Linked DNA regions of Arabidopsis thaliana. The protein of the gene in region 2 interacts with the protein of the main gene of each other region in a pairwise test. Each region holds a gene or a part of one and is shown on either strand. Other genes may lie near its edges.

What was found.
Region 1: the proteins of AT1G80780 (region 2) and HLS1 interact in binary tests that used the Arabidopsis thaliana proteins (3 or more experiments, as listed by UniProt).

The regions. Positions count from the first base shown.
Region 1 is NC_003075.7:17,656,703-17,661,475, forward strand, and holds HLS1 (Acyl-CoA N-acyltransferases (NAT) superfamily protein), read left to right. Parts: upstream 1-1,891; 5' UTR 1,892-2,229; coding exon 2,230-2,391; intron 2,392-2,679; exon of another isoform or gene 2,680-2,732; coding exon 2,733-2,908; intron 2,909-2,988; coding exon 2,989-3,862; 3' UTR 3,863-4,176; downstream 4,177-4,773. UniProt on the Arabidopsis thaliana protein: Ethylene-responsive N-acetyltransferase required for differential cell elongation in the hypocotyl. Regulates apical hook formation of dark-grown seedlings. May control differential cell growth by regulating auxin activity.
Region 2 is NC_003070.9:30,356,172-30,360,337, reverse strand, and holds AT1G80780 (Polynucleotidyl transferase, ribonuclease H-like superfamily protein), read right to left. Parts: upstream 2,177-4,166; 5' UTR 2,043-2,176; exon of another isoform or gene 1,960-2,042; 5' UTR 1,822-1,959; coding exon 1,014-1,821; coding exon of another isoform or gene 997-1,013; exon of another isoform or gene 808-996; coding exon 755-807; 3' UTR 732-754; downstream 1-731. Other genes in the region: FDM5 (XH/XS domain-containing protein), read right to left, coding at 1-58; PDE318 (P-loop containing nucleoside triphosphate hydrolases superfamily protein), read right to left, coding at 2,552-2,641, 2,726-2,932, 3,082-3,194, 3,291-3,327, 3,406-3,477, 3,556-3,669, 3,749-3,859, 4,047-4,121.

The DNA.
Region 1 (4,773 bases), on a different chromosome or scaffold from region 2:
CATAGACCGTCGTTTGAATTGGTTTACTATCTTTACGTTCAATCTTATATCGATTTGTTTTGGTATAATTTCATTTTGATAAATCCAAAATGGTTTAAATCAGATTGTATCCTATGTTCCTAACTACTAGTTAGAATAATAATCTATTTTTAATATTGATTTTAATTCTTCTGATGGAGTATATAATAGTGCTCGACAATGTCATAATCAGTACAAAATAAATCACCTACCAACCTGAACTATATGTTATATATTTTGAGGGGCCACGTCAAGTGTGCCGTTTATTTTTGTGTTTATGATTGTTTAATATTTGTGCGTGTGATGGTGTTTCTTGCTTAGTTTCCACTTAATACACAATCAAATATCAAGTGGAACTATTTATGAAAATTGTTCTTCGAGAAGAATTCTGACCCTAAAAGGTCATTTGAGGGCTTGAGGCTTATTGTTTCCAAATTACACCAGTAAACAAGGGTTTTTTTTTGTCAACAAAGATTATTGTAATTCGAATTTCGTCTACAATAAAACAAATTTTCTTACTAAAACAAAACAATTAGCTGACGGTTGATATTTCGGCTTTTGAGTTTAATTAACTAATTGGTGATTATGTTGATGATCTTTCACACCTAATGAAGTGTCATGTATATGTATATATGTATATACTTATGTATATATAAAACGTACATATAATCATTTGTCATATATATCATCATGTATTGCATGACTAAACTACCCTTAAAAGAGGAATACGATAGACATGACCTTTAGGAATTTGTTTTTTTCTTCTAAATGGATTCCTTCGCTTCTTTTTAGCCTCGTAGTGAATTTGAACATTGCAGTTATTTCTAGTAAGATATTTTTTCTGTATTTTTCGGAAAATGTTAAAAACTAATTATACACAATTTACTTTCTCTCTCAACTCTTATTTTACGTTACTGTTTTTTTTTTCCTCTTGCAAAATTAGAGCTGCTGTATTTACATTTACTAGTAATTTGGTAGATAGACAGTTAATGTAGTATATAGATGGGGTTGAGGGCAAATGATTACTTGGGAGATGGTGCAATGCATCAGAGTGATGATGTGGAATTTAATAAGTGTGAATTTATGGGCAAAGGAAGGGAACTAGTAGTAGAAAGGGAAATAAATACAGTACAAGTAAGAGGAAAACGAAAAGAGAGATAGAAACCATAATAATGAGTTAACGCAGACATAGCCGCCATTTTCAACTTCTCACTCCCACTTACAACTTCTCCTTCTGGGCAAGTTTTCCACATCAATGCTCGTCTTAATCACCATTAATCTCTACTCATCATTAATACGTTGAAGCCCACTATTTCAAAATTTACTAGGAGTATTTATTCGTGAAAAACATTTAAATGTCCCTAATTATAAGAGATTTAATTTCATATTTATTGTATTAAAGAGAATTTACATTAGCTGTCAAAAAAAAAAAAAAAAGAGAATTAACATTATTTTACAGAACATAAAATTTTGAAAATAGATAGCGCCACTGCATGTAAGAACATACAAATTTCTTTTTTTCAACAAAATCTATTTATATTTCTTCTTTTTTTGAACATTATGTGTAGTTTGTAGTAAACTAAAAAGTGTGACCAACACAATTTAAATCATTCGATTTTGTAGCAAAAACATTTTTGTTCCAATTTCCAAGCAGCAAATATGGTAGGAATATAAATTCTTTACTATTTTTCCTCTTAACACATAAAAGTAAAAAAAGCATTCAATGATCAGTTAAAATCTGGTTAGAATTCTACCTTATCATTTAGAACTAGCTAATATTTAAATTCATATATACAAAAAATAAAATGGGAACTGTAGAGACTAGAGACTATAAATAGAGGATTGAGAAGAAGAACTTTTAAAGCTCTATCAATCATGAACTACTCGCCTTCTCCAACTTTTAAAACTCATCATAAATAGTAAAAAAGTAGCCGGAAAAATAAAATAAAAAGTCTATTTCTCTTTCCTTTAAAATCCAAATCCTATAAACTCATAGCTTTCTCTGTTCTTTACTTATACCTCACGTTATACATATATATAGAGTTTCTATAAATGCTTCTCTTTCCTCTCGAACAAATCTTCCTCACTTCTCTCATTTCCACACTCACCTTCCTCTCTATATATTAAACCCTATCTACTTAACTCTTCTTCTAACTCTAATCTCTCTCTCTATTTACTCTGCTTCTGTTCTCACTCTGAAAGAACCAAAACATGACGGTGGTTAGAGAGTACGACCCGACCCGAGACTTAGTCGGCGTGGAGGACGTGGAACGACGGTGTGAAGTCGGACCAAGCGGCAAGCTTTCTCTTTTCACCGACCTTTTGGGTGACCCGATTTGTAGAATCCGACATTCACCTTCCTATCTCATGCTGGTAATAACATGTTTCACAATCTTTTATCTTCTTTTACTTGTATGTCTCTTCAAAAACTCTGTTTGTTTTTTGAACCTAGAAGTAGAAAACATAGAACACCAACTTCTCAACCTTTGGTTAATCCAAAAAACCCATTTTCCATAAACAATTAAAGTTCGGTTCTTTTTTTGGTATCATTTCTATTTTTTTCCGATTCTTGATAAGATCAAAAGACTCATCATTTATATTATTTTTTGCAACCAAATGATACCCGAGTAACTATAACTAATAAAGTTTCCTCTTTATTATAAAAGGTTAAAAACATATAATAACGGAAAATTTAAATTATGGGACTGTAACAGGTGGCTGAGATGGGTACGGAGAAGAAGGAGATAGTGGGCATGATTAGAGGATGTATCAAAACCGTTACATGTGGCCAAAAACTCGATTTAAATCACAAATCTCAAAACGATGTCGTTAAGCCTCTTTACACTAAACTCGCTTACGTCTTGGGCCTTCGCGTCTCTCCTTTTCACAGGTACCCTTCCGTTTTCCTCCCACTCATAATCACACGCTATTATAGATTTTGGTTATCTAAACTAGTTTTGGTTTTTGCAGGAGACAAGGGATTGGGTTTAAGCTCGTGAAGATGATGGAGGAATGGTTTAGACAAAACGGAGCTGAGTATTCGTATATTGCAACTGAGAACGATAATCAAGCTTCTGTGAATTTGTTCACCGGGAAATGTGGTTATTCGGAGTTTCGTACACCGTCGATTTTGGTTAACCCGGTTTACGCTCATCGAGTTAATGTTTCGCGGCGAGTCACGGTTATCAAGTTAGAGCCGGTTGATGCTGAGACGTTGTACCGAATCCGGTTTAGCACAACAGAGTTTTTCCCGCGGGATATTGATTCGGTACTTAATAACAAACTCTCGCTTGGGACTTTCGTCGCGGTGCCACGTGGAAGCTGTTATGGATCCGGGTCTGGATCATGGCCCGGTTCGGCTAAATTCCTCGAATATCCACCCGAGTCATGGGCCGTATTAAGCGTGTGGAATTGTAAAGACTCGTTTCTGTTAGAAGTACGTGGAGCGTCGAGATTGAGACGTGTGGTGGCTAAAACGACGCGAGTAGTTGATAAAACGTTGCCGTTTCTGAAACTACCTTCGATACCGTCCGTTTTCGAACCTTTTGGACTTCATTTTATGTATGGAATCGGAGGAGAAGGTCCACGCGCGGTGAAGATGGTGAAATCCTTGTGTGCTCACGCGCATAACTTGGCTAAGGCAGGTGGTTGTGGTGTCGTGGCGGCGGAAGTTGCCGGAGAAGACCCGTTGCGGCGAGGAATACCACATTGGAAAGTGCTATCGTGTGACGAGGATCTTTGGTGTATAAAGCGGCTTGGAGATGACTATAGTGATGGTGTTGTTGGTGATTGGACTAAATCGCCACCTGGCGTTTCCATTTTTGTAGACCCTAGAGAATTTTAAAACTTTTTTTTTAACTCTATAATATATATTCTCTATTAACCACTTGATGTTAAATTAGGGGTTTTCTTCTAAGTTTATAGATTTTCTTGTTTTAGAATTAATCTTTTTTTTTAGGTAACTTTTTTTGCTTTTTGTTTTGTTTTGTTTTGTTTTTGTGGGTGTTATAAATTAGTGGTAAGAGGTAATATCTCCTACTTTTGGGTTTGTGTCTTCTTGTCTTGTAAATGGATCTAGCTTTTTAAGATACTTTTTCTTTGTGGCCAAACCAAAACGCCGACCTGATTATTATTTCCAAGTAGATAAAATTTCATGAACGCACTGATACGTATAATGATGCAATTTGTGTTAAGACGATACTTTGGAGATAAAATTACAATTATGACAATGATAGAAAATGTTACCAATAACGATTAGCATTATCGTGTGTGCCATCAAGTATAAACTAAGAGAAAGACGCACATTTTCTTAAGAGTAAATAAAATATTATGTATATTAGTTTAGTAGTTCTTTTTAGGTGGAGGATTTTGGTTCTTAGTACTTTGCTAATTCGAGTTTGATCATTGATATTTGATAGTGATTGGAGAATAAAAACTTCTTTTGATATCGCTAATCTTACGTGTAAATGACATGAATATCAATGTCATGGACCACACTTTTTCCCCCAAATATGGTCCAAAGATGTTCAACTGATAGATTTATATGTTTCTTTTGTTGGTTTGCGGTAGCAAAAGCTATATCATGATGAAACCTTTGAATCGGGTTTGAGAACGTGTCCTTGTCCGAAAGAGGTATTGTCGAGTCGAGAGCACCGATCGAGTCAGGGAAATTGTTTATACTATAAGGTCTTGACCATCACATAATAAGACATGTGGATAACTTCGATCGAGGAGTGATACTTTGTGTTTGTGGAT
Region 2 (4,166 bases):
AATAGACATCTATCTCAGACTCACTGATCTCTGACTCTTCATCAGAACTGTTATCCATCCTAGTAGGTGGCCTGTAATCACCAGATTTATAGGATTAGTTGACGAAAAACAGATTTAAGAAACAAAACAGGTTCTGTAGTGAGAATTCTAAGAGTCATGTTAGAATAGAAGAAATTAAGCAACTAAGAGTTGGACTTTTATTATGCCAAACAAAACAAAGAGAACCATTAGATAAATGAACAGGCAAAAGCACATATGAAGACCAATCGAAATGATGGTCACAACGATGTAAGTAATCAAAATCTTGACAATAACTAGTAAATGCGTTTACTATCACAGACACCAAGTTAAAAAAACCTAGAACGCTATATCCTTCACCAAATCAGCAGATTCGCAACTAGGAAATAAGAGCAATAACCCAGAAACACCATTAAAACTTACCCAGACACGTTCTCTGTCCCTTTGATCTGCGAGTAAACGAGCCACAAATGTTAGTCTCACATGGAAATACCTAAATCGAAAAAAAAAATCAACGAGAACCGGCGCGAAAGGCAAAGTTCTCAGTAATCACATAGAAACCCCGTATGTCACGAAAATGAACCTCAGAATCGTCGGAGAAGAAGAGTGTCAAGTCACTAACCTCAGATGATGATGACCGAAGCTTGCGCGAAGAAGAGGCTTGAGATTCAATAATACCAACTAAACGCTGATTGCAATTTAATGGCCCTATCCAATAGCAACAGTGGGCCTTATATTAGGCCCACGCAACCATATCCATACGGTAACTAACATTTTTCCCATTCGCCTCTTTATTTTCAGACACAAAACAGTTCAACTTTCAGACAATTGTGATCATACCTCTTCATTTTCATGTTTCATTAAATTATTTTGAATTTAGATCCTACATTTTGTGGAGTTATAAGTGTCTGATGATGCATTCTTATAATGGAAAAAGAGAGAAAATAGTTTTCAGGAAATTTTTTATTTAATTTTTTGCTAGATAGCAACCTGACCATTTTCAACACCTAATCCATACAAAACACCAGAATATTTGTGCAACGGACCAACGAAGAAATTCTCCTTGAGCTTTCTGAAAGTACAAGACGTGAGTAAACTATCCGAACCAGCTTGGTGACAGATCCCAACTCTCTCCACTTCCAGCAACTCCGCAAGCTTGTTGAGACCACCGTGAAGGCTGTTGCAGAACTTCATCAGGTGTTTAATGTCGTACACGGTCGGAAAATAAACGTTGATGAGCTTGAAGAAGTCTGTTTGCGAATCCGGCAGGTTTTGGCAAGTCAAGAGCTTTAGCAAGTATCCGAAATCGTACCCACTGTGGAATGTAACCCAATGCACGTTTTCGTTCAAGACGATCCCGGAGGACATTAAGAGCTCTGCGAATCTCTTGGAATCGATCCCGTCTAGCGTGTTTTTGGCAAGGTCGATGCCTGATTGCTTGAGAAGCTCGATGGAATCGAGAGCGAAGATATCGGAATCGAGATCGAATTCTCGGAAATTGAATTGCCAGATGCAATACTTGTCAGTGCCACAGGTAGGGAGGTTGCCTTGTTCATTGGAGAAAGTGAGGCCAAGCTGGATCATCTTGAGGATGTTGACGTTCGTCTTCAAGGTTTCGTAGTGGTAATCAGCGTTGGATTTGAAAGTTCCGACAGGTCGGACGACGATGCCGGGGAACTCAGTGTCCATGGCGACGTAAGGGAAGTCGTCGACGACATCTCGGATCAGATCCATTTCTTCTTGAAGGTTATCGTTCCAGACTTCGCGAATTTGAATCGAATCGTCTTTCAGAAACAGAGACATGTCTATGAATGACGAATTTGGTGAGCATCTGGATTATTGATGATGATGATGAATTGATGATGATGATAATGATAAGACGGTGGAAATAGAAAACCTAGAACGGATCTAGAGGAAGACCCGATCTGGTTTCATCAAAATCTGCGGTAAAATCAAACACCAACAAAGCAAAAATCAAACACAGAAATTGAGATAAGAAGGCGGTGGTGATAGATATATCGAACCTGATAAACAAAGCCGAAGTAGGTGGATGGATATTTCTAGAGACGGCGGCGATTGTTGTGGTTAGGGTTTCAGGGAAGGATGTGGTGGTTTATCGATACCCAAAATGGAAGCAGAGAAGAAGAGATAATATTATTATTACTTATCGATTTCTATTTTTTTAATATTTTTTTTTAATCTCTGTTCTGAATCCGATATTTTATTGTTCTCCACAAGTTTTCTTGTTTCTGTCTACTTCTGACAATTTCAGGATCGTTCCTTTTTTTGTGCGTCACAATTTTCCTTTGGCAACATTTTTCTCTTTTTTTAAAAACAATCTAATCCTGCATTATTGCTAAAACTTATATATGTATATATATATATGCGTACCAAATCCACTACTAACAAGGGAGGAGAGAAATAGCTATGTATATATAATGCATTAAGATTTTAATCCTATTTAAGTATATTAAAAACAAATGAGACATTAATGTCAAAATGCTAAAATGGGCAAAAAATCTCTAGCTAAGCACTAGCAAGTAGCAACACTTTGATCAGTTTTCTCTCCACTTTGGATCTTCTCCATCTCACTACTCAGTACTTCCTTCACTTTGTTCTTTAGCTGCAGAGCCATGTAGAGAAACAGACCACTCAAAACACACTCTTGCTTTCTTTCCACATTAAATATTTCTGGTAAGTTTCATACCTCATTGAGACCTTGTTCTGTTTTCACCGAGACATGAATTGATTCATCAGGTCCTCTTTCCCGGTACTTAATGATTTCCGCGTCATCACTGCTTCTATCTTCTTTGGCATACATCACCGGTGAGCCTCCCAGCAGATCGCATTTGGACACAGCATCAATCCACAGGTAATCCTTAAACCTCTCTTTCATCTCTTTATATATTTGAAACTGCAATGCCCTCACAACAAACATATAACTGAATCAGGATATATCAGACCCAATTATTCGGCAAATCAGATAACGGTGCACATTCTTGTGCTTTCCTTTGACACATCTGATGCAACGAAATCCATAAGGATTTGTTTCTTACTATATACCTGATCAGAAGGAGAAGTCCCACATTCTCCCGTTAGATCATGAACATATAGAACCGCGGTTGGAAGATGAGTGAGTACAGCAAGAGTTAACTTCTCTAGATTATTCCTATCCTCTGTAATTACCAAATAAAAAAATACAAGAATCAAGACTTAATCAAATATCATATAGTTATTCATCCACATGAGAGTTCGTAGCAACTAGACTTTACCATCGCATCTCCTAAGAAGGCCAGGGGTGTCTGTAACCTGCAATGCGTTTCTGGATGATTCAATAATCTATATCATGAGGAAAGTGATTAGACGCAGCGAAGTAAGCAACGCAACCTGAAATCGTTGGTAGTTTAAAACGATGTGACCCATCAGAATTCCTCTGGTTGTGAAAGGATAATTGCAAATCTGACAACCGAAAAAACCATAAGCATTAGACAATGCAAGTTATTATCACATATATAAAGATTGGTACATAAGGCAGACCTCAGGCTTCCCTGTTGACAGTATGCGAACCAATGATGACTTCCCAACGTTTGGTGCTCCGACAAGGCAAAGAGTCGGCATTTCCAAGTCAACAACTGGCATAGCCCTCAAAACCTGCAAAGTGCGTAACTCTGTTCATACATACAATTCTGATAACACTGGAAGAGACAAACAAAAGATTCTAGTAAGGAACCTTCGCTATAGTTAGCAAATCATCAACAGCTCCCCCTTGTTGTTGGAAAACCAATTCCAGCTTCTCCACACCTTCGCTCAAGCGTTCCTCTGCCTCCTTCTTTGACAAAGCCTGCAACGAAATTGAAAGATGTTTAACTTTTCCTACACTGATATATGATAGAATAAGATGAAAAAAATGGGATCGGTATGAAGCTTATAAGGCCTTTACTGATGTAGTACCAATCACAATCTACAGTATATGGGATTAACTAAAATGTAAGACACAATATGCTTTTGACGGAACTGAGGAGTCTGACCTTGGCGCAGAGAGAAGCATGTTCCTTTCCAACAGATTGCACCTTCTTCCTCAGAACATCAACTTTTCCTAACACCTAAAAACTTATCTATAAGCCTTTGCTAAAATCAGTTGCAGGCTA